3 linked regions of the Drosophila melanogaster genome follow. The protein of the gene in region 3 interacts with the protein of the main gene of each other region in a pairwise test. Each region holds a gene or a part of one and is shown on either strand. Other genes may lie near its edges.

Region 1 (9,617 bases), on a different chromosome or scaffold from region 3:
GCTCTCCAGCTGGACGACATGCGATTATCGGTATTTTTGGAGCAATCTAAAACCGGATTGGATAATTGACCGGCGTTAATCATGGTGAATACACCATGAGTGATTCCCAAAAACAGAGTCAAGGGTGTTGCCATTTCCTAATTAAAGATCAAATTAAGTAATAACAAATCTAACCGAATGTTGAATAATCTCTCTATTTCAAGTTCTGCGTTTAGAATATATATTTACGTAGACTGAACTACGTTAAATTGTGCTTTTTAGGTCCACCCTAAATAGTTGATTTCGATGATCGATGTTGTGAAATTGCTAGCAAAAGCAAATGCGAGACGAATAAACAGCAAAAGGAGAAACAAATAGAAAGATAAGAAGCGAACAATATGATTGGGAATATCCCACAATAACACTTTCCTACAGCGCATTTGTACTAATACAAAATATACGGTTAAATAAATTTTCATACTTATCCGACTACAAAAATAATATCTATTAAATTGGTCATTTTTTTGAGGTAGCGTTATGAGATTTGAAGGAGAGGATTAGCAGAGTTTGAGTAGCTCTACATATGTACCATAGATAGTTCTGTGGATTCATTTCTATTTTCATTTACTTTAGTGATTAACCGAAGAGATAGACATAATCGCGACACATGTCCATGTATGCCTTACTATCTCATATTTATGTATGTAGATGCCAGTTTTTCGGCTCTCCAAACTTAAAATATACCGACTAGGAATTTGGAATAATAAAACATTTTGTTCAGCTTTGCGAACTTTCAATATTATTACGTATACAGTTCACAAAAAAAGGTTCAAGATTCAATTATTCCTGCCTGCATATACATATGATGTATTAGCTTTACAATAGCTTTAAAAAATAGTTTTTTCATAAAAATATTTGTATATTCAGTTAGTTATTATGAGCGTATTTTGCAGGCAGTATACTTTCTGGGTGAAAGCCAAGGAAGATTACTTGTTACAAGCAAATTAATTCACCATACATCACCACAATTTAATTAATCATGAAATTACAGCGTTTTAAAGCTAATTCCTTTCCTAGATTGCAGCGTATTCATATCACCCAATATCACTACTTATAGATTACACGGAACCGAACCGCACGAGAGAAAGAACAAACGGGGAATCACCAAGAGAAACGCAGTTGAGCGAATATCTCTTATATATTGGCATTACTCATCGCTACATTATATACCCGTTTCATTTGCAAGGCAGTGTGAAATACAGCCAAGTGACGTCATCATTCGGCAAATCAAGAGAGCGACATCTAACAAAACAACAACAGCTGACTCAGAGAGAGCAGGAAAGAGTTTTCGATATATATGTACACAACGCCTAGTCAGTTGGTCTCCGTATTTCGATTTAGGAGGCAGTTCCGTTAACACTGCAAATCAACAAGTCCAAATAATATTGCACGCACGTCATTTGCCACACGACAAAAACATAAATATTTGTATTCAATTCATATATTGGGATTTTACGCGAGATCTTCGCAAAAAATCATTTGGGCTTTTCCAAAAACCAGATAATGTACGTAAATTATTTAAAAGGAAAATCTATATTTCAAATCATTGCGAAACACGAAGCGACAGTTATTGGTGACAATTAAAGTGTTAATTATCGAAAAACCCCACACGAAATATGAATAAGTTGTTATAATTTGACTATTGCATGACGATAGTTCTGTGACAAATAACTGAAATATCACTCATGGGCAATCAGTAATACCAACTTTCTGTTCTTCTATACAGTCACGCCTATTTGTTCGCCCTTTATTCGTAATATTCATATAATATATTCATTTCTAAAAATGGTGAAATTCGAAACATTAATTTTTTGCAATTTTTTAGCAGTAAATCCCTATTTCCCATTTATTAGTCCAATTATGATTGAAACTGGCCCGAGTGAATACTCGAATCAATATTTGAAAATATGATGAAAATAGAAACATTCATCTTTGGTGTTTTTGAACAGTAAATTCCCATAAATCCATCCTGTATTGTATTCTTTTGAACAGTATGTTCCCCTAACTTCCTTCTAAAATCAAATTACGAATGATTTTTAAGCTGAAATTGGTCCAAGTGAATACTCACAAATGTAATATTTGTAAATATGATAATTAGAAATAATCATCTTTGATCCCTTTGACCAGTAAATTCCCATAAATTCCTTCTTAAATCAAATTACGAATGATATTTCAGCGGCAACTAGCCCAAGTGAATACTCACGAATGAATATTGATATTGGAGTGCCGGCGTTTTTTGTGGCCATGTTATTATTGTTAAGGTTTTGTTTGCCCAACTCGCGTCATCGATTTCAGTGGGCGCACCACATACACCGCCACACACACACACACACACACACACACCACAACAACACACACTCTGCCAGTTTTATTTACTTATAATTTTTATCAGTTTTTTTTTTTACGACTTGCTCGCCCCACTGGAGCTCGGCTTCGTCTGCCGGGCCTGGGGTTTTAGAGTCGCTCGGTATTATAACAAATCCGTGGGCCATCGAACCGAACCAGTCCCAGCTCGGCTCTGATCCCAGTCGGTCGCAGTCGCTCAGTCGCTAACCAAACTTCCGCCAGCATCGATCCCGCGCATTATAGCCTTATAATATCTGTGCTCTTATTTCCCATCCTTTTTGCCCTCATTTGACCACCAATCCAATCAAAATGCGTCGCGCAGACGCTTTTGCTGTCTCGCTTTGTGTGATTTTGGCCTTGCTGCAGACGATGGAACCGGTAAAAGCCGAGGGGTAAGTCCATATACCACAAATACTATACTATATGATCGGATCGATTTTAAAACACATCTACGGTTAGAGTATTAGTAGAGTCGGGTTAGGAATTCGCAAAAATATAGGCGATAATCAAAGCCAGATATCTAAAACTATAGTTCTTTACAAAGCTGGCCTATAAAACGTATTGTTCTTACTTCGGTTATTCGGTTGATAATTTGAATAAAAACTGATGGCTAAAAATTTTAACCATTTCCCTAATACGCTAGTGGTTGGATTCCCGTCTCACTCGAACACTTAAACACAGATTACTGCAATCCAAACTATATTATCTATGTTTATTACTTATTACCACTATTATATTCACAGTCACTGTATGGCTGTCGTCGAATATTTCAATTAATTAGGTATGCATATATGTATACAGATAGGGCCGTTTTTAATGAACATCAAGGTAATTAAGCTGTTATTTATACGCAAAATCACCTATTAGCTTAATTGTTTATACCATCTGGTTTGTCCTTGGATTTATAGGAGAGTTTTTTTACGGTTTTTACAAATCACTAACCTAATAACATTTTGCTCTACATTTTTCAAATAGTAATTTAACTTTTAGATATATAATTATGTATATAGCAAATGTTAAACATCGTTCCTTATCACACCTATAAGATTAAACACTAGACTTCTGTCCACGTAGTGACGATGAGCACCTAAAAGGGTGAATTTGGGGAAATTCAATAAAATTGAAAATCTGGTACGATAGTCCGATCACAACTATTCACTCACTTCAAAAATATTCAGAATTTCTTTTTTAAAGAGGTTTAGTTACTCCGAACTAATATCTGGTATTTAATTTTTGAGTTGAAGGTGCCATCGCCACTTTAATCTCACCTTGTTGAGGGGTGTTTTATTTTCTTCATTTTTGTTGAGCTCAACTTATGATGCTAATTGAGTTTCACTGTAAGCCATTTTGAATATGGATTTTTATATTTTTTACTCAAACAAGAGGATCACGTCACATACTTTGTTTGCCTCAATGGTTTCGCTGATCAATCTTTCACACGATCTTAAATCTGTACTTTTTCCTGTCCCGCCAATTATTAGTAATTAGAAACGAATATGAAGGTGGGTTATGGAACACACTTAAAAATGTCATAAACTTGAAGTCTAACATAAAAGGCTGGAACAAATCTAATCCAAAAAAGTTAATGATGTTCAGGCTAACAATATTGGTGTACGTGATCGGGGACTGTAAGTGCGAGAAAGATTGCTAATCGCAAAAGCTGGAATTATGTAATCTCTAAGCCGGTTTCATACTTTTCAGTAGAAGATCAGGTTCTGGGAATATTATCCGTTATATATATATATACATATATATTTCATCATTTGCTGTCACAGATCAAAAAAACCATAACTCAAAAACCTAAACCGAATCTTAGACTGCCTTTTAAAGATTGGGAACATTATCAAGTCGAGGTTAATGGTTTTAAGTTTCATTTCTGTGTTTCCCTAGAGATTAGACAATATACATTTATTTTTGAATTCTTAGAGCATGGTCAAGAATTTGATATTGATAATTTGAATATTGATAGCTATAGTTACTATCAAGAAATACAATACTATATATTATACAAATACAATACTACAAATATTTCCAAGTGGATATGTGTATGTTTTTTTCTCTTCTTGGAATTTTTTATGGCCGAATTGTTATTTGATTTTATTTTGTTTTTCATGACAATAATGTTGATGTTTTCTTTGCTTCCAGCAAGTACACCATTGTGGGTCCCGGAACCATCCACTCCCACCGTGACTACAATGTGGCCGTGGCTGTCCATCAGACCAAGGAGCCAGTCACCCTGAAAGTGGGCATCACTGGACCCTCCTACAACAAAACTGAGACCGTGGAACTAGCCACTGCCGGTGAGTTCAAGCAGATCACCTTCAAACTGCCCCCATTGGAGGCGGGTGAATATAATCTGACGGCGGAGGGCGTCAAGGGACTGGAGTTCAAGAACTCCACCAAGCTGAACTGGGAGAATTTCAAGCCATACATTAAAATCCAGACCGATAAGGGAAAGTACAAGCCCGGTGATACTATCAACTATCGTGTGATCTTCCTGGACGAGAACCTGCGGCCGGATACCGCTAAGGATGAAGTGGTGGTTTGGTTTGAGGACTCCAAAAGGAACCGCATCAAGCAGGAGAAACACATAAAGACCACCGGTGGCGTCTACACTGGCAAATTCGAGCTCTCCGAGTTCGCCACATTGGGCTCCTGGTCCCTTCATGTTCAGAATGGAGATCAGCACCACGACGGAGGTATTTACTTTGGGGGTCGTAAACAATTTGGAGGATTTGGTCATCGCTGGCATCGCTCGGATGAGCTCGTCAACTTTGAGGTGGAGAAGTACGTGCTGCCCAAGTACTCCGTCAAAATGGATGCCACGCAGCAGGTTTCAGTGCGAGATGGCGAGTTCAATGTCGTCCTGAAGGCCAAGTAAGTATTACCGGAAGTTTTATGCTTTAGGACATTCTTATATCAGCATTATCCCCCAGCTACACCTATGGTAAGCCCGTGAATGGTAAAGTTCTTGTCAATGTCCATCTGGACTCGACGAGCAGTTGGGAGAATGTGGACGGCAAGACAGTGCAAACGGACTACCCCGGACATTCTGTTGTTGGCACCGCCGACATGGTCGGAGGCAAGGCCAAGTTGACCATGGATCTCAAGGACTTCGCCAGTTATCTGCCGCACAAGACCTCTTCTTCATATGCCCAGATTACGGCTACCGTGGAGGAAGACTTCACCGGCGTGAAGCTCAATGAAACAGGCGGTGTGCAGCTGTACCCCTATCGGTATGAGATGTCCTGCACTGACTACTCCAGTTGCTTCTCCTTCAAGCCCGACAAGGAACATGAACTTAACTTCAAGATTACATATGTCGACGGCTCACTAATTACAGACACCAAGTCTGTTGTGAAGGTGGGTTAGAAATCTTAAGAGATCTGTCACTACTTATAAATTCGTTTTAACTCTAGGCCAAGTTCACTGAAGGAATTCGACGCAATTATGCTTTCTATGCCTTTGGAACAGATCATCAAGAACCGGAATTGCCAACGATTGAGAAGAAAACGTTTGTGTTTGAAAGCCATTTGAATGCGTCTGGTGTGGCGCCTTTCAAGGTGGTTCTTCCCGATTTGCCGGATATCGCCAACTTTACTCGTTACTATAGCATTGAGCTGGAGTTCGTCGATGAAAAACGAGATCTGTACACCACTTATCCCTACAGGGAACCAAAACAGATTGAAAATCCTAGCTCTGAAGAGGAAAAGGAGTGGTTCAGGGCAGAAGTTCAGAGGCCCAAGGACGTCTGGAAGTGAGTACAGTTGAGTTGAGCAAGGGTTCCACGATTTTAAATAACCATATACAATACTTCTATTGCAGCCTCAAGATCGGGCAGGAGTATCAAGTAATCCTCAACTCCAGTCGTCCGCTCAAATACTTTGTGTACAACATTGTGGGACGTGGAAACATATTGGAAACGAAACGTGTGGACCTCGCGGAACCCCAAACGACCGTCAACGTAACCATTAAGCCCACTTTCCTCACTACTCCCTATGGTCGGGTGTACTTCTACTACGTGGATGAGACAGGAGAGTTCCGATATACCGAGGAAACATTCAGTGTGGAGGTCGAGCTGCAGAACCAGATCGAAATCAAGGCTCCCGCGGAAGTTAAACCGGGTGCCGACGTTGCACTGGAGATCAAGACGTCGCCAAAGTCATTCGTTGGATTGTTGGCCGTCGATCAGAGTGTCCTTCTGCTGGGCAGCAACAACGATTTGAACAAGGAATCCTTCAACTGGCGCCTAAATGGCTATGACACCTCAACTCCCTGGCAGGGTGGATACTCCTACTACCCCGGAGAGCGAACTGGAGTCGTGACTATGACCAATGCCTATTTCTTCTATAATCGCACCGCCCCAGACTACAATATTCGTACGTATAAATTTGTCATAATAATAAACCACATTAATTTGCAATTATTGGAAGTTACAGAAGGATTTGGTGGAAGCTCTTTCGCCATGAGAAAGACTACAGTGGCACATGATAGTCATGTATTCCATTCCGGTGCTGGCGGACCAACTCAGGCCGTGGGATTCTCCGCCGAAAGTGCGTCTGCATCTGCAGCACCAGTAGTGCGAAAGAATTTCGCAGAGACCTGGATCTTTGCCGATATCGAGAGCACCGAGGAGGAGGTGTTCAAGTGGGTAAAGACCATACCCGATACGATCACCAACTGGGTGGTCACCGGCTTTTCACTGCATCCCCAGAAGGGATTAGGTGTCACCAATGATCAGACAAATATCAAGACATTCCAGCCGTTCTTTGTCTCCGTTCGATTGCCATACTCCGTGAAGCGAGGTGAGGTGATCAATGTACCGGCACTGGTCTTTAACTACCTGCCCAAGACACTGGACGTGGAACTGACCCTGGACAACGAGGATCAAGAGTATGACTTCGTGGATGCCTCGAATGAGGTTATTGGTGACCAGAAGCGTACGCAGAACATCAGAGTGGGCGCCAACGAAGCGGCAGGAGCCTCATTTTTGATCCGACCCAAGGTCATTGGAAATATTTTGCTGAAATTCAAGGCCATCTCACCGCTGGCCGGAGATGCTATACACAAGCCGCTAAAGGTAGTGCCCGAAGGAATTACCCAGTACCAGAACAGGGCATTCTTTATCAATCTTAAGGATACGGGTGAGTTTAAGAACACCTTCGAGCTGGAAGTGCCGGAGGATGTGGTCCCCGACTCCGAGCGTGTGGAATTCGGATTGGTGGGTGATCTCTTGGGACCAGTGGTCAAGAACCTTGAGAACCTGTTGCGATTGCCCAGCGGTTGCGGTGAGCAGACCATGTCCAAATTGGTGCCCAACTATCTGGTGAGGGATTATCTGAAGAGCATCAAGAAACTCACACCTGCATTGGACACTCGCATCAAGAGGAATCTGCAGGACGGATACCAACATATGTTGCACTATCGCCACGACGACGGCAGCTTCAGTTCCTTTGGGCCCACCAAATGGAGGCAGGAGGATCCAGTGCGCAATGGTTCCACCTGGCTGACGGCCTATGTGCTGCGCTCGTTTAGCAAGATCAAGGATATAATTGACTTGGATGAGCAGATCCTGGCCAAGGGCTACGAATTCCTGTTAACTCGACAGGCAGAAAATGGTAGCTTCACGGAACACGGAGAGTATTTCTATAGCTCCCAGCGATCTCTATTGACATTGACCGCAAATTCCTTGCTCGCCCTGCTGGAGGAGGAGAAACCGAACCAGGCTGCCATTGACAAGGCGGTTGCCTATCTGAGCGCCAATACTGCCGAGTCCATTGAGCTCCTGCCCAAATCCATTGCCATTTATGCCCTGCAAAAGGCCAAGGCGCCGGAAGCTGCCAAGCAGGTGGCCAGTCTTAAGTCCCTGGCCAAACACGAGGACGATCGCACCTGGTGGACCGAGGATCTGGATAAGCTGCGTGCCTCCAAGAACTGCGGACGCTGGTGGTGTTGGATCTGGAGTCAGGATGTGGAGATCACATCATATGCGCTGCTTTCCCTTCTGGATTCAGACCAGGAGACAGCCGACTCTGTTCTGAACACCGTTCGCTGGTTGATCGCCCAGCGTAATGGCTTCGGAGGATTTGCCTCCAGCCAGGACACGGTTGTCGGCCTCACCGCCCTCATTAAGTTCGCTGAGAAGTCGGGCTACGAGGCGGCCAAGTGGGAGGTGACCGTTTCCAACAAGGGAAAGCGTGAAAAGACCGAGAAGCTCAACACATCGGAGGAAAATGACCTGCTCCTCCAGACAGTCGAGTTCCCACAGGGCACCAAGTCGCTGGAGTTTGAAGCCAAGGGAACTGGAGCTGCTATGGTCCAGATAAGCTACCAATACAACTTGGTGGAGAAGGAGCCGAAGCCGAGCTTTAAGATTCAGACCACCGTTTTGCCGGAATCGTCGCCAGCCAATTTGGAACTAAGCGTCTGCGTGGACTACGTGGAGGAGGGCGAGTCCAAGGAATCCAACATGGCCATTCTGGAGGTATCCCTGCCGTCTGGTTATACTGCTGATGAGGATAGCTTCGCCGACATCCGGAACATCGAACGTGTGCGGGTAAGTTTCAGAATCCTTAATACCTGTACACTTTTCTCTTCAATTACCTATAAATTATTCGCTTTGCAGTTGGTGGAAACCAAGAACGGTGACTCCGTGGTGGTCATATACTTCGAGAATCTGGCCAAGAACGAAGAAAAATGCATTCGCATAGAGGCGTACAGAACACATGCGGTGGCCAACCAGAAGCCATCATCGGTGGTCCTCTACGATTACTATGACACGAACAAGAAGGCCACCGAATACTACTCCATCAAGTCGAAGCTCTGCGACATTTGCGAGGGTGACGACTGCAAGAGCAAGTGCTAGAGTATCCAAACCAAAAGGAATCATTAATACTTTCTATCCTTACTTAAAATAAAATTGTGATTATAATGTATATACAAAATGTCTCTTTTACTGCTTTGGGTTACATAAGAGTTATAGCGTAGTGACGAAACGCATCAGTCAGTGTGCTAATGTCCAAATCTTAATGTAGAAACAGTTTATAAGGACCATAAACCAATTGATTGTTTTATCGTAATTAGTTTTCAGTTAGGGAGTTCTTCAACTAACAAGTAAAGGAAGGGACTTTCAGATTCTGAGTTCTGGGATACAAAGAATCAATTTGGATTGCACTTATTTATGGAGCTCGAGAAAATGGGAATGCTTCTGAGCATCAAGCTAGTTGACGAAT
Region 2 (5,227 bases), on a different chromosome or scaffold from region 3:
GTTTGTTCTCTAAGCTTACAAGCTACACGCCCAACTGGCAATCAAATATCTTAGCACAAACTACTTAAAACCACAGCGAGTCATTATATTAATCTTTGGTATATCGTGTGTCACAAACAACACGGACACACACACGAAAACTAACAAACGAATCTCCATAGATGATGATAGTTTTGGCTACAATTTAAGTAAAATTTATTTGGTACTCCAAACGTTTGCAATTGAAGCACCCAGCTATTCCAAACACACACAAAAACGCATTGATCTTCGCCAGGAATGCGGGGACAGGGTCGTTCGTTGAGGAACTCACAGCAGTTTTGGCAGGCTGAAAACCGTGTAGGCGAGATCTAGAATTGCTCGGCCATCAGGAGGACAACGGTGGCCGTCCAGCCGGTGAACGGATTGCAGCCCTTGCCCTCGCCGCTGGTGTCATCGTACTGCTCCCACAAGTAGCCGCTGCGCTTGTACTGCCGCAGGATGTTGCCCACCAGATTGTCGCGCAGTTCGGCGTAAATTTGTCGCGCCAACGCCGCATTCGGTCCATCGATCTTGCCATAGTGATGCAGCGCCTTGGCCGCCAAATAGTTGATATTAATCCAGATGGGTCCACGCCAATACGGCGGATCGTGTTCCGTATTGCGTTGCATATACAATGGCGATCTCTTCGAAAGCGAACGCAGACCGTAGTTGGTCCACAACTGTTCCGGATCACGCAGATCGTTTAGCAACTTGGTCAGATACGGCGAATCGTGATCCAGTTGCTCGAGCAGCAACGGAAACAGGCTAACATAGCCAAAGGCGCTGTCCACGAACTGATAGGTCGGCAACTCGCCGGTCACACGTTGCATCTCGGGCAGCTGGTAGTGCTGGTGATGATGCCGCTGCTGCTGCTGCGGCGCCATGGACGGCGGACGCTTCAGCTTCACCTGGTCCGTGTGCAGGCCCCAGTCGGCGTACTGTTCGCTGTACGGCGCCAAATGGAGGCGATTCAGACGCACATTGTCCGTTAAGTACGATGCCGTCTCGTAGTACTTGGCATCGTCCTTGCCCAGCAGCGTGGACAGTTCGGCCATCACACCGGCGGCCAGGGCAATCCAGCAGCGCAGGTCCAGGTGACGCTCCTTGTCCGTGGGATGCGAGGCGCGCGGATAATCGTCCAGGCCGGAGGACAGACTCTTGGGGTTCAATTCGCGCGTGGTGGTCGCGTTCCTGCCGCGCCACAAATATGTGCCCAACACTTCACCTAGAATGGAGCAGTTAGTTAGTAGACGCCACATAGAAAGCGATGGCAGGTGGCTAAGTGACTTACCCCTCTGCGTGGTGTTGAACCAATTGAACCAGGCCTGGACACGCGGATAGAGCCGCTCCAGCGTGGCCAATCTGCCGTTTTGCGACAACTCCGCCCGGTGGCTGGTCAGCAGTTTCTTGAGCGTAAGAAAGAACGTCGGCGGATTGGCGTTGCTATTCCGTTGCGTGACAAACTCCTCGGGCACCTTGGCCAGCGCCTCAACGCCCAGGATTTGCTCCCTGGGTATCCAGCCCTCCACGTTGAGCAAATCGAACCAATGGCATATGATATCCAGCTCGATATCGATGTCCCACGCACTGATCAACAGGCCGTGGAAGCCCTCGTCCCAAAGGAAGCCCCTGGGAAAGAAGCTACGCGACGGCACGGCCGTGTACAGTGGAGCCTTCCAGTAGGGCACCGGATTCTTTGTGTACACCGATTGCACGCGACTGGAGCCATAGAAGTAACCAATGCCGCCAAGCAGATTGCTCAATGCGTTGCGCGCAAATCGCACCTCCTCCGGCGAGTGACCCTTCTGCTTCAGCTGGAAACGATCCTCGAAACGCTGCTCAAATTGTGCTATTTTCGCCTGAAGCGAATCCTGATAGGCTCGTCCCGTCGGCGGCTTGGGTATCGACTCGCCAAGCGAAAAGCCCGACGTCGACTGGTACGTAATGTCCAGCGTGAAGTCCACCTCCGCCGTTATCTGTATGGCTATGAAATTGGGCTCCGGATTGGAGGATGGCAGGCCATTCTGCGAGACTATCTCGCCGGGCAGGCCGATGAAGCGATTGCCACGCTTGTCGGCGAAGGCGCGGAAGTGCGAGAAGAGCGTATCCTTGAGCTTGGCCAGCGACGGTGCCACCGTGCTGAGATAGGATTTATGCAGTATCTTGCCCTTGACGGCATGGAAACGCACTTGGAACTCGCCCAGGCCCTGCGCCTCACCATAGACGCCCGGCTCCGGACTCTTGTCGTCCGACACGTACTTAATGTGTCCATTGGTGCGCTCATCCAATGCCACATACCAGATTAGCGAGATGCTCTTGTCCCACGCCCTTGTCGTATTCCTCACCGATATCCTGGCAGTCCAATCGCCGCCGTACTGCTTGCCCTCTGGATACTTAACGAACGAGGTCTTCAGCTCGAAGGGCAGATCCTGGATCTCTTGAACGCCAAAACTGCGGCCATCGTGATGCGTCCAGCCGTACGAGTCCAGTTTATCGCCCTGCTCGCACCAGTGTCGAATGCCCTGGCCACCGGGGCCCAGATTACTGGGCGTATACCACATCAGGCCCATGACCAGCGAGTGCGGATCCCTGGTCTTCATGCCGAAGTACGTCAACGGACGGTAGGAGCCCCAGTAGCGATCCGGTTGCTCCAGGCCGGCATGCACCACCATCTTCTGGTGATCGAAGGGCGTGTTAACGCGCGTCTCCAGGTAGCCCAGATAGCCGAAGTACGAGGCTATCGCCAGGCAAACGCAACCAATCATCGTTTTCCATTTGTCCAGGATCAAATTCGAGGATAAACTGAAACGCGGGCTGCGCTGCTTCTGTTTGGCATTGGATGCCGCTGCTGCTGCCGCTGCCGCCGCCGCTGCTGCTGCTGCGCTCGATCCGGATGAGGATGCAGCGGGCGTGGAGCCCGAGGAGCTGCCCGTGTTCCTAGCCATTTTGCGCTTGTCCCTTGGCTCTGATTTATCGGCTATTTGTTGTTGCTTCAATTTTCTTGCGAGCGCATTGTTTTCTTTTTTATTTCGATCCGCACTGCGTTGCCGGATCATCCCAACTATTTTCTATGCGGAATTACAAGGGTTTGTGTCCTAGCTATACTATGCTATATTTGAAAACCATAAAATTAATCATTTCCAAAATTTCTTCTCCAAATTTTGTAACAAATCATTTTTCCGTCACATTTCTCGATCGTCAGAAATAAAATCGGAGCTTATGCGTCGCTTGCAATTATTTTAAATTCTTAGTAAACTTTCTTGGAAAATGCTTAAATATTTGGCTGGAATTTTCGTCAGTCCGCGCAATGACTACGCGAATGGTCGCTACAGGATTCCGCATCCGAAGAAGCTGGCCGCCAGGCGAAAGTCGCCCCCGGTGAATATATCCACGAGGAGCGTCATCAATGGCGGCAGGTCGGCAAACGGGAGGCTCAAGACGGAAAATAGAAACGCACGGCGACGTCGAGAGGGCAATCCACATCTGACGCGACCACACAGCCGATCCTCCCAGAAAACCATAGGGATCCGCCTGGATCCCATTAGCTACATCGTAAATGTGCCCAATTCCACTTCATCGCCCGACGACGACGAGGAGGAGGTGCCTGTACCGCAATTGCCCAACGCAGTAAACAAACTGAAGGCTCGAACGTATCGGAAGGAGAATTCCGATTGCCTTATTCCACCGCCAGTTAGTCGCGTCGCGAGTTGGTCGGGTCCTTTGAATGCCAGTCCCTTCAACCAGCTGGATGAGCAGAATTCCATCTCTGACGATGCGGACGCAATGGGCTGGAAAGCGATTTGTTTGCCAGATGATTTTTGGTCGGAGGATTCGGACTCGGAAAGCAAAAGCAAAATGAGTAAAATCAATGTCTTTTAATATACAAAAAATTTATTTTAAATATTATAATAGTTGACCATTCAATAAGATCTTATTATGCTTTTAATAAGTACGAAATTTTACAAATTAATGTAAAGAAATTGTATACTTAATAAATAGCAATAGACTGCAAGCTGAGCAGTTTTTCTGAAACATATTTTGAAATAAAAAGATTTTGTGACGTAATAAGGACATTAAAAAGCGCCACCTTACAAGCAACATTCATGAAAAACGGCGCTGCCAGATGGACCGAGGCGTTACGTGGGAATTAGTACATTTTGGCACTGTACATGTGCATTCAATATTTTGATTTCACTATTATTGCTGCAAATAAACACAGAAAACTGAAAGCATAATGAACGTCAGCGCCGATTTTAAGCCGGTGCCCACGCGTGCAGCGTTGGCGCTGCAAAAGAAGCAGGAGAACACCGAATTTCAGGCACACGTCTTCCACGAATCGCACTTCCAATCGAAAAGTGGAACAAAAAAGCAGGACGACGGCGTCCAAAAATCGCACAAAACCAAGGAGGGCGGCATGGAACTGAATCCCGAATTCGATATCAAGAAGGCGCGCCACGAGGTGCTCAATTTTGCGATCAAAAACCAGCGTGTGATCAAAAACAAGAGCAAAATGGAAATGTTTCAGCTGATCAAGCTGGGCGCCAAGCCGCTGAAGAAGGCCTCCAAAAACTACAAGGAGCTGAAGGACGAACGCCAGCGGCTGAAGAATATTCGCGAGGAGCGCAAGAAGTTCCATCAGTTGGGCAAAAATCAAACGGGCGCCGCCAGCGTCAAATGCCGAACAAAATCGCAAAAGGAGCGCAACGACAAGAGGCGCGCGCCCGTTTCACACATCGATCAGCACTACGGCAAGGCGCAGCCCAAGTTTAAGACGAGAAAATAGTTGTTTATATAGCTCTTAGTTAAATACTAAAACTAGCTTAGTCAAAGGATGGCACTGTTTAAAAATCAATTTATCTATTCTAGCCCTAACGTCAGGCTTAAATTATATAATATATAACTATACCAGCACTGCCAGCATCTTTAACTGTGTAAATAATAATTTAAACATTTAAACCAATTTAAAATATGACCACTTTTATTTTATGCATATTTTTGCGGCCAGGTGGCAGCTTCGCGCTCGTACGTTGCCTTGCCATATTCCTCGCCAATAAGCGCACTTTCCGCGTTACCCAACACGTCCACTTTGTTGATACGTGATTACGTGAATTATTTTTGCGAATTAAACGCTGCAAGCTAGCCAGCCATTAAGTCCAACATGTTCTCGCCCTCACGTGCCCTGCGCCCAGCCCTCAGCCGCTGCTACAGC
Region 3 (6,286 bases):
AACAAATAATTCCTCCAACATTGTGCTACGAATGTTCTTTGAGCGACAAAGTGAAAATGTTGAGATTTATTTAATTGCTTTTGTCGCAAGGAGCCGAAAAATGTCTACAGAAATTATGAGAAACTTATAAATAACTAGTGGATGCCATGACCGCGGCGAATCGAGTGTTTATTTTCGTTAACAAAATGACGACATTGGGCATGATTTTCCAATTAAATGCTGAGCTTAAATAAATAATGCGTCTATTTATAGACGGCCAACTCACTGGCAATGGGGCACGAGTTGCCAGTATCTGTATTCGAATCAATGTTCTTCGTTTTGTGTTTGTTTATAAATGAAATTGCAGTCTGCAAACTGAAACGCTTGACTCAATTTCCGTTTCCGCCCAGCTTCACTGTAAGCCAGCGGAAGCGGCACAAATGCCAGCAAGTGGTTGCTGGATGGCCCAAGGGCTAGCCGGATCCTTTGGAGCCATTGGATCCATTGGATCCCTTTGGTGCCTTTACTCCCCAACGACCTAATTTTCGCTTGACTTCATTTCGGATATGCGTTGCCATTTTGTGACCATTGTGTGCTGGCCATTTTGCGGAGCATAGGCCGTCGGCCTGGTTGTGGATTTTTTTATGCTGATTTATGGGAAAATAATCCCGGCTAACTTAGCGCCTGCAAAATGGTTCTCCTCCGCCAGGATGTTTGCACACTCGAATCTAATTTTCCTGGCCAAACACATACACAATGCTCTGCTCTGTGCAATTTTGGCACAAACGTTGATGAGGATGTCGTCTGATGAGGATGCATGAGGGACCCCCAGGGTTCGGATAATCATTTAATCAGCCATTTGTTTGAATTGCAATCCAAGGGAGACGATAGTAATAGTACTTTCCAAAACCATCGGGTGTGTGCCATCGCGTAATTGAATTTGATTCTTTCACTTGACGAGCCACACCCCTCAGCAAATGCAATTACAATAATTTAATTGCCGTGAAAAATGGCCGCCCGGCTGCGGGGCATTAATTAAATTTTTGCGAAGACAATAGTCAAAACCCAGCCTGCGGCGCATTTAATTCACTTAAATGGCAACCAATGCGGTTTACTTCAATTCGCCGCGTATTTGTTAATTAAAATAAAAATGTAAGAAAGAAAACGCTCCGTCGAAGTGCCGCGGGCCAAGGAGGCGGTAAAAATAAACGAACACGCCATCTGTTTTTCTCCGCCGTGGGAAAAACAAGAAAAGCCTGGAAAATCTCAACTATTTCGGCTCGGCTCCACCTGTTCGGCGTCGAGAATTTAGAAATAGTCGCGCTACCCATAGCACAAATTCGTCGCGCCTTTTACGTGTATCTCGTAGATTTTCCGACTGTTATCGAAATTGTATCTGCTCTAGCAAAAGATTTTCCCCCATCCCGAAATAGATGTCGCTGTGCGATTTGTTTGTTTGGCTTTCCCCCCCGAAATACTCTAATAAAATATTAATTTTTGTGGGGGGGCACGAACTTTGACAGTTCCCAGTCGCCTTGACTGGTCGCCTCTTCACTTTATTGCCCTCTCGTTAATTTTGAAGGCATGTTTTGCTGATGGCTGTCCTCGAACAAAGTGCTTTTCAATAACACAAGGCACATAATTCAAGTTAATTTCCCGCTCATAAAGTAATCGCTGTCCTTTTTACTTTTTAAAGCTTGCAAATTGCTCCGTCTTTTCCTGGAGACATTATTTATATCCATTATCAGATTATAAATACATTGTATGAATATTTCAATAATATTTATAAAAATTTAAAACATTAGTATGATAGTAGTATGATGAAATTATTTCGAATATTCTCTTAATAAACTAATTGGCATGTTCTAAATTGTGAATATTGCAAAGGATGCTCCTCACATTTTGTAAATCTCTGTAAATTCTGAAGGACGTGTCTTTGGAAGATTTGATTATCAAATATATTTGAAATACCAATTAAATCCAATTTGAAAAACATTTTCAGTAAAAATTAATAAGTACATGTCATTTTTGTAAACTTTTTATGCAGAAAGTCCTTTTAACAAGAAATTGCCATGTCGCTGATCTGATCTGATAACTGTGAATAATTGTGAGGATGTCCATGTCATCATAAATTTCGCTGTAAATTCTGGAGGATGTGTCGCTCGATGGGAACCAATTTGCTGCCATTTTTAATTATGACCCAATGCATGCCGATGGAAATTACGGGCAACGAATGCACGCGCCCGAAATGAGTTCAAAATGACAGCAGGACAGCAAGTCCGAAAAAATGCGGCTAACATGCAAATGAGCAGTACTTTGAAGAGCACAATCTACACACACTCGCACACACACACACACACACATACCATCGATTGGAAATGTGTGAAAATAATGAAGCATTTGGATTTTTCCTTTTTCTCAACCGATGATGATCTAAAATTATAACGCACGATTCATACGCGGGAGACGGGCAAAGTCGGCGTTTCGAATATATAGAACGCCCACGCTGCAAAATTTTCACACACTCGACTCCGAATTCGGATATATTTTTGGAAAATTCTTGAACGAATTCGTCGGAGAACGCTCTCTCGCGCTTTAAAAGCCGCATACGCCCCGTTGGCTGGCATCAGTGTTAGCTTGTCAGAGCTTTAGTGAAGATCCCGCAGGACCCGAAACCAAAAACCAAGAATCAAACATGTCTCTTGAGCGTGCCGTTCGTGCCAAGGTGAATACTCAATCAGTGAAGAAAAAAGATCCTTAAGAAAACATAGATATAAAGGAAAATAGATGAAAGAAATGTGAAATTACCAAACAGTTTTGTGAAATATTGTGCCTAAAATATGAATTTTTTCTTATCCGATCCACCTAGATTGCCAGCAAGCGCAATCCCGAGATGGACAAGGAGGCCCAGGAGTGGATCGAGGCCATCATTGCCGAGAAGTTCCCCGCCGGCCAGTCCTACGAGGATGTGCTCAAGGACGGTCAGGTGCTGTGCAAACTGATCAACGTGCTGTCGCCCAATGCCGTGCCCAAGGTCAACTCCTCGGGCGGCCAGTTCAAGTTCATGGAGAACATCAACAACTTCCAGAAGGCCCTGAAGGAGTACGGTGTGCCCGACATCGATGTCTTCCAGACCGTCGATCTGTACGAGAAGAAGGATATTGCCAACGTTACCAACACCATCTTCGCTTTGGGCCGTGCCGTAAGTTTCAAATCGCCTTCTATCCCATTGTCAGCCAGGCTAATCCTTGAATTGCGGCTCATTGCAGACCTACAAGCATGCCGACTTCAAGGGTCCCTTCCTGGGCCCCAAGCCCGCCGATGAGTGCAAGCGCGATTTCACCGAAGAGCAGCTGAAGGCTGGCCAGACCATTGTGGGTCTGCAGGCCGGTTCCAACAAGGGAGCCACCCAGGCTGGCCAGAACCTCGGCGCTGGCCGCAAGATCCTGCTCGGCAAGTAAGCGCCAAAGGATGGCCAGGATGTCCACACCCTTTTCTACACTTATGCTAAGTGAACACACCCATATATATTTTGTATGATGAAAAACATGAAGAACACAATGATATTCCTCACCAAAGCAAAACTCAACACCAATGAACACACACTCACACAAAACAACACATAAAAGCAACGCAAAGGCTTGTCGCCTTATATTAAGTATACGCCTAAGTTAATCTATTTATGAGTACAATAAAGTAATTCAAAGAACCCAGTTTTCCACTTTCCGATCACCTCTATAACCTTGAGCTCTCTACGTTCTTGCTGCTGTTGTTTGTGTGGGTGTACAGACTTTATTTATCTGCCTATGGTGCGTTCTAAAAATGAATTTCATACCTATAGCCATATAGCTGAATATATATATATACTATATATGCATCATCGTATCAACGTTATAAAGCAAACATAAACACACTCTGTTGAGTGTGTGCGATGTGTGAAACATTCCATCGAAGCGTGTCGAGGTCAGAACATCAGCGTTGGGCAGAGTTATTATCAAGATGGGCATCTCGACACTGACTTTTACATATATTTTATATGTAGCGAAAGGAATTTCCCCCAAACTCACCTGTCCGAGGCGTGAAATTGTTCCCACGAAAGAACACACACAACATTATGTATTGCAGGTGCAACTATGCTGGTGCCAAAAATGAAAAAAACCAGACATCTCTCGCGAATATTTCACGCCTTCAGCTGGCACTTTTCTAATTTCTCGATTTATTATAGTTTGTCAGTGGGTGGAATTGATCTCTGTTGGCTTATTATGCTGAAAGCAAAGAGCAGGAATGGAAGAATCTGGAAATATTTTGTATTAATTGTATGTTAGATCTATTGAAAAAATATGTCTTAGAACGCAGAATATATTCAGCATGGATTTGTTATTAGTTTTAAATGACGCAGTCTGCAAATGAAATATTTTCCTCATTCGTTTTGGCTAATTGAAGTGTACTCAGGTCGTGTGTACAATATTTTAGACTCAAATAGTGCTCAGAAAGGATGATTAAGAATAAAGCGTGCCAATTTCCGAATCGGTATATTTAGAATTTTGAAAATTTCCAACAATTGGTTGCTAGAAATATTAATGAGAACAACCAAACGGTATTTCCCCTTGGTTTTGTTGTTTTCTTCAACATATATATATGGATGGAATAAATAAAAGCAGGCAAATAAATAACAAACTTGACACTGAAAATGTGGGGGATATATATATATATATACATATATATTAATAATGGTTCATTAAGAGATTTTCTCTACCGTTTCAGGGTTATTATTGATGCATAAGCTTACGACTAGGAAGTCTTGAATTTTCCATTGTTTATAGCATTAATAAACGACAAATATTATATTATTTTTGTGGAAAAATGTATTTGGTTGAAAAGTGGTAATAGCCCTATTAAATAATCGAGCTCTTTTTTCGAGGTGACATCAAACTTTGCAGCTGATTGGTAAGTGATTTTAGGGTTTCCCGGAGACTCGAGACCATTTTCTCCTTTTCACGAACATAGGCGACAGTTCGATCGTAGTCATACATCAATGCGGGCATAGCCAGGATACCACCCTGGCATGTCAAATCTCTCATCCGGCGCCTAATAGCCTTGTGCTCCAGTTTTCGGCGACACAGCTCGGATTTTAGTTTATTTTTCAACTTGTGCTTTTCCAGCAGGTTATCTTTAAGAACGTGAATTTTGTTCTTAAGCTCGTGGGACTTCTCTCGATTGTGCTTAGTCATATGCAGTTCGGTGTGGTAGAGCCTGCGCTGTCTTTTTAATTCAATATTTCGCTCTGATGGAGATGATTATTATGCATATAATAATGAACAAATTTTAAGCAGAGATGTTCATAGGACTATACCTTCAATCTTCTTTTCTAGGCCGATCGTTTTGTTTTGCACGGAAATAAAGTCATTCAAGCTCACACCGTCGCAAACCGTTTCTACATCTCTTATTTTCTAAATGGAGATGTTTCAGAAAAGTATGTTGATACAAGTAAAACAATCAAATTAGAAAACATATGAAAAATTGGAAAACAATATTGGTGATAGTAAATATAATGAAAAACTACATGGCTGGATAGTGGGAAGCAATGTGTTGTAAAATATTGTGAATAACTTAATAGCATTATGTGACAATTTGAATGAGCATAACCGGCGGATAACATGGTTGCTAACATAGCATATAACATGTCGGATAACATAGCATGTAACATGAGTTGGCAGACAACACGGCGATTAACATATAATGTAATATGACGGATAACATGGCGAATAACATGAAGGACAACACGGCTGATAAAATGGCGGACAACATGGCGGATAATATAGCATGTAACATAGCATATAAAATGGCGAATGACATTACAAAAAATACGGAGGATAACATGGCGGACAACATGGCGGAAAATCTCTCAACAACGCGTTCAACATCGTGGACAACTTTTTGGACAACATCCTGGATACCTACTTCTAAGATGCGGGCCAAGGTGTGTTTCTGCGACATGAGCAACAGCCGGGCATCGCTAATTTGATTCCGATGGTCGGCCATAAGTCGGAGTTCGCGGGCAACCAGGCGCTTGAGGAAATCGGTCTCGGCGTCCGGACGAACCAGGATGCGTTTTAACGTCTGCTCGAGATGATGCTCCGTGCTGAGAACGATGTTCATGGCGTTGGCGAGGTCCAAAAACGCAGTGGTCATTAGAATGCCATATTTCTCCCTTACCCTGATGAGGCGCTCTTGACCATAGGACAGATAGGTCAGGGCGTGATCAAGGCGACGGGAGTAGGTTGACTCGGCGTTCGGCGTTAGGCGG

The links.
Region 1: the proteins of Mp20 (region 3) and Tep4 interact in a two-hybrid assay, tested with the Drosophila melanogaster proteins (one large-scale study listed by BioGRID).
Region 2: the proteins of Mp20 (region 3) and CG11756 interact in a two-hybrid assay, tested with the Drosophila melanogaster proteins (one large-scale study listed by BioGRID).

The regions. Positions count from the first base shown.
Region 1 is NT_033779.5:19,547,152-19,556,768, forward strand, and holds Tep4 (Thioester-containing protein 4), read left to right. Parts: upstream 1-2,541; 5' UTR 2,542-2,694; coding exon 2,695-2,777; intron 2,778-4,530; coding exon 4,531-5,262; intron 5,263-5,321; coding exon 5,322-5,748; intron 5,749-5,804; coding exon 5,805-6,142; intron 6,143-6,210; coding exon 6,211-6,764; intron 6,765-6,818; coding exon 6,819-8,941; intron 8,942-9,010; coding exon 9,011-9,250; 3' UTR 9,251-9,300; downstream 9,301-9,617.
Region 2 is NC_004354.4:11,344,920-11,350,146, forward strand, and holds CG11756 (uncharacterized protein), read left to right. Parts: upstream 1-3,200; 5' UTR 3,201-3,285; coding exon 3,286-3,897; 3' UTR 3,898-3,946; downstream 3,947-5,227. Other genes in the region: GCS1 (glucosidase 1), read right to left, coding at 348-1,243, 1,310-2,963; CG1738 (uncharacterized protein), read left to right, coding at 4,253-4,801; NdufV3 (NADH:ubiquinone oxidoreductase subunit V3), read left to right, coding at 5,177-5,227.
Region 3 is NT_033778.4:13,244,069-13,250,354, forward strand, and holds Mp20 (muscle protein 20), read left to right. Parts: upstream 1-2,601; 5' UTR 2,602-2,674; coding exon 2,675-2,704; intron 2,705-2,848; coding exon 2,849-3,181; intron 3,182-3,248; coding exon 3,249-3,436; coding exon of another isoform or gene 3,437-3,440; exon of another isoform or gene 3,441-3,691; intron 3,692-4,743; coding exon 4,744-4,762; 3' UTR 4,763-4,812; downstream 4,813-6,286. Other genes in the region: CG4712 (uncharacterized protein), read right to left, coding at 4,875-5,263, 5,333-5,429, 5,941-6,286.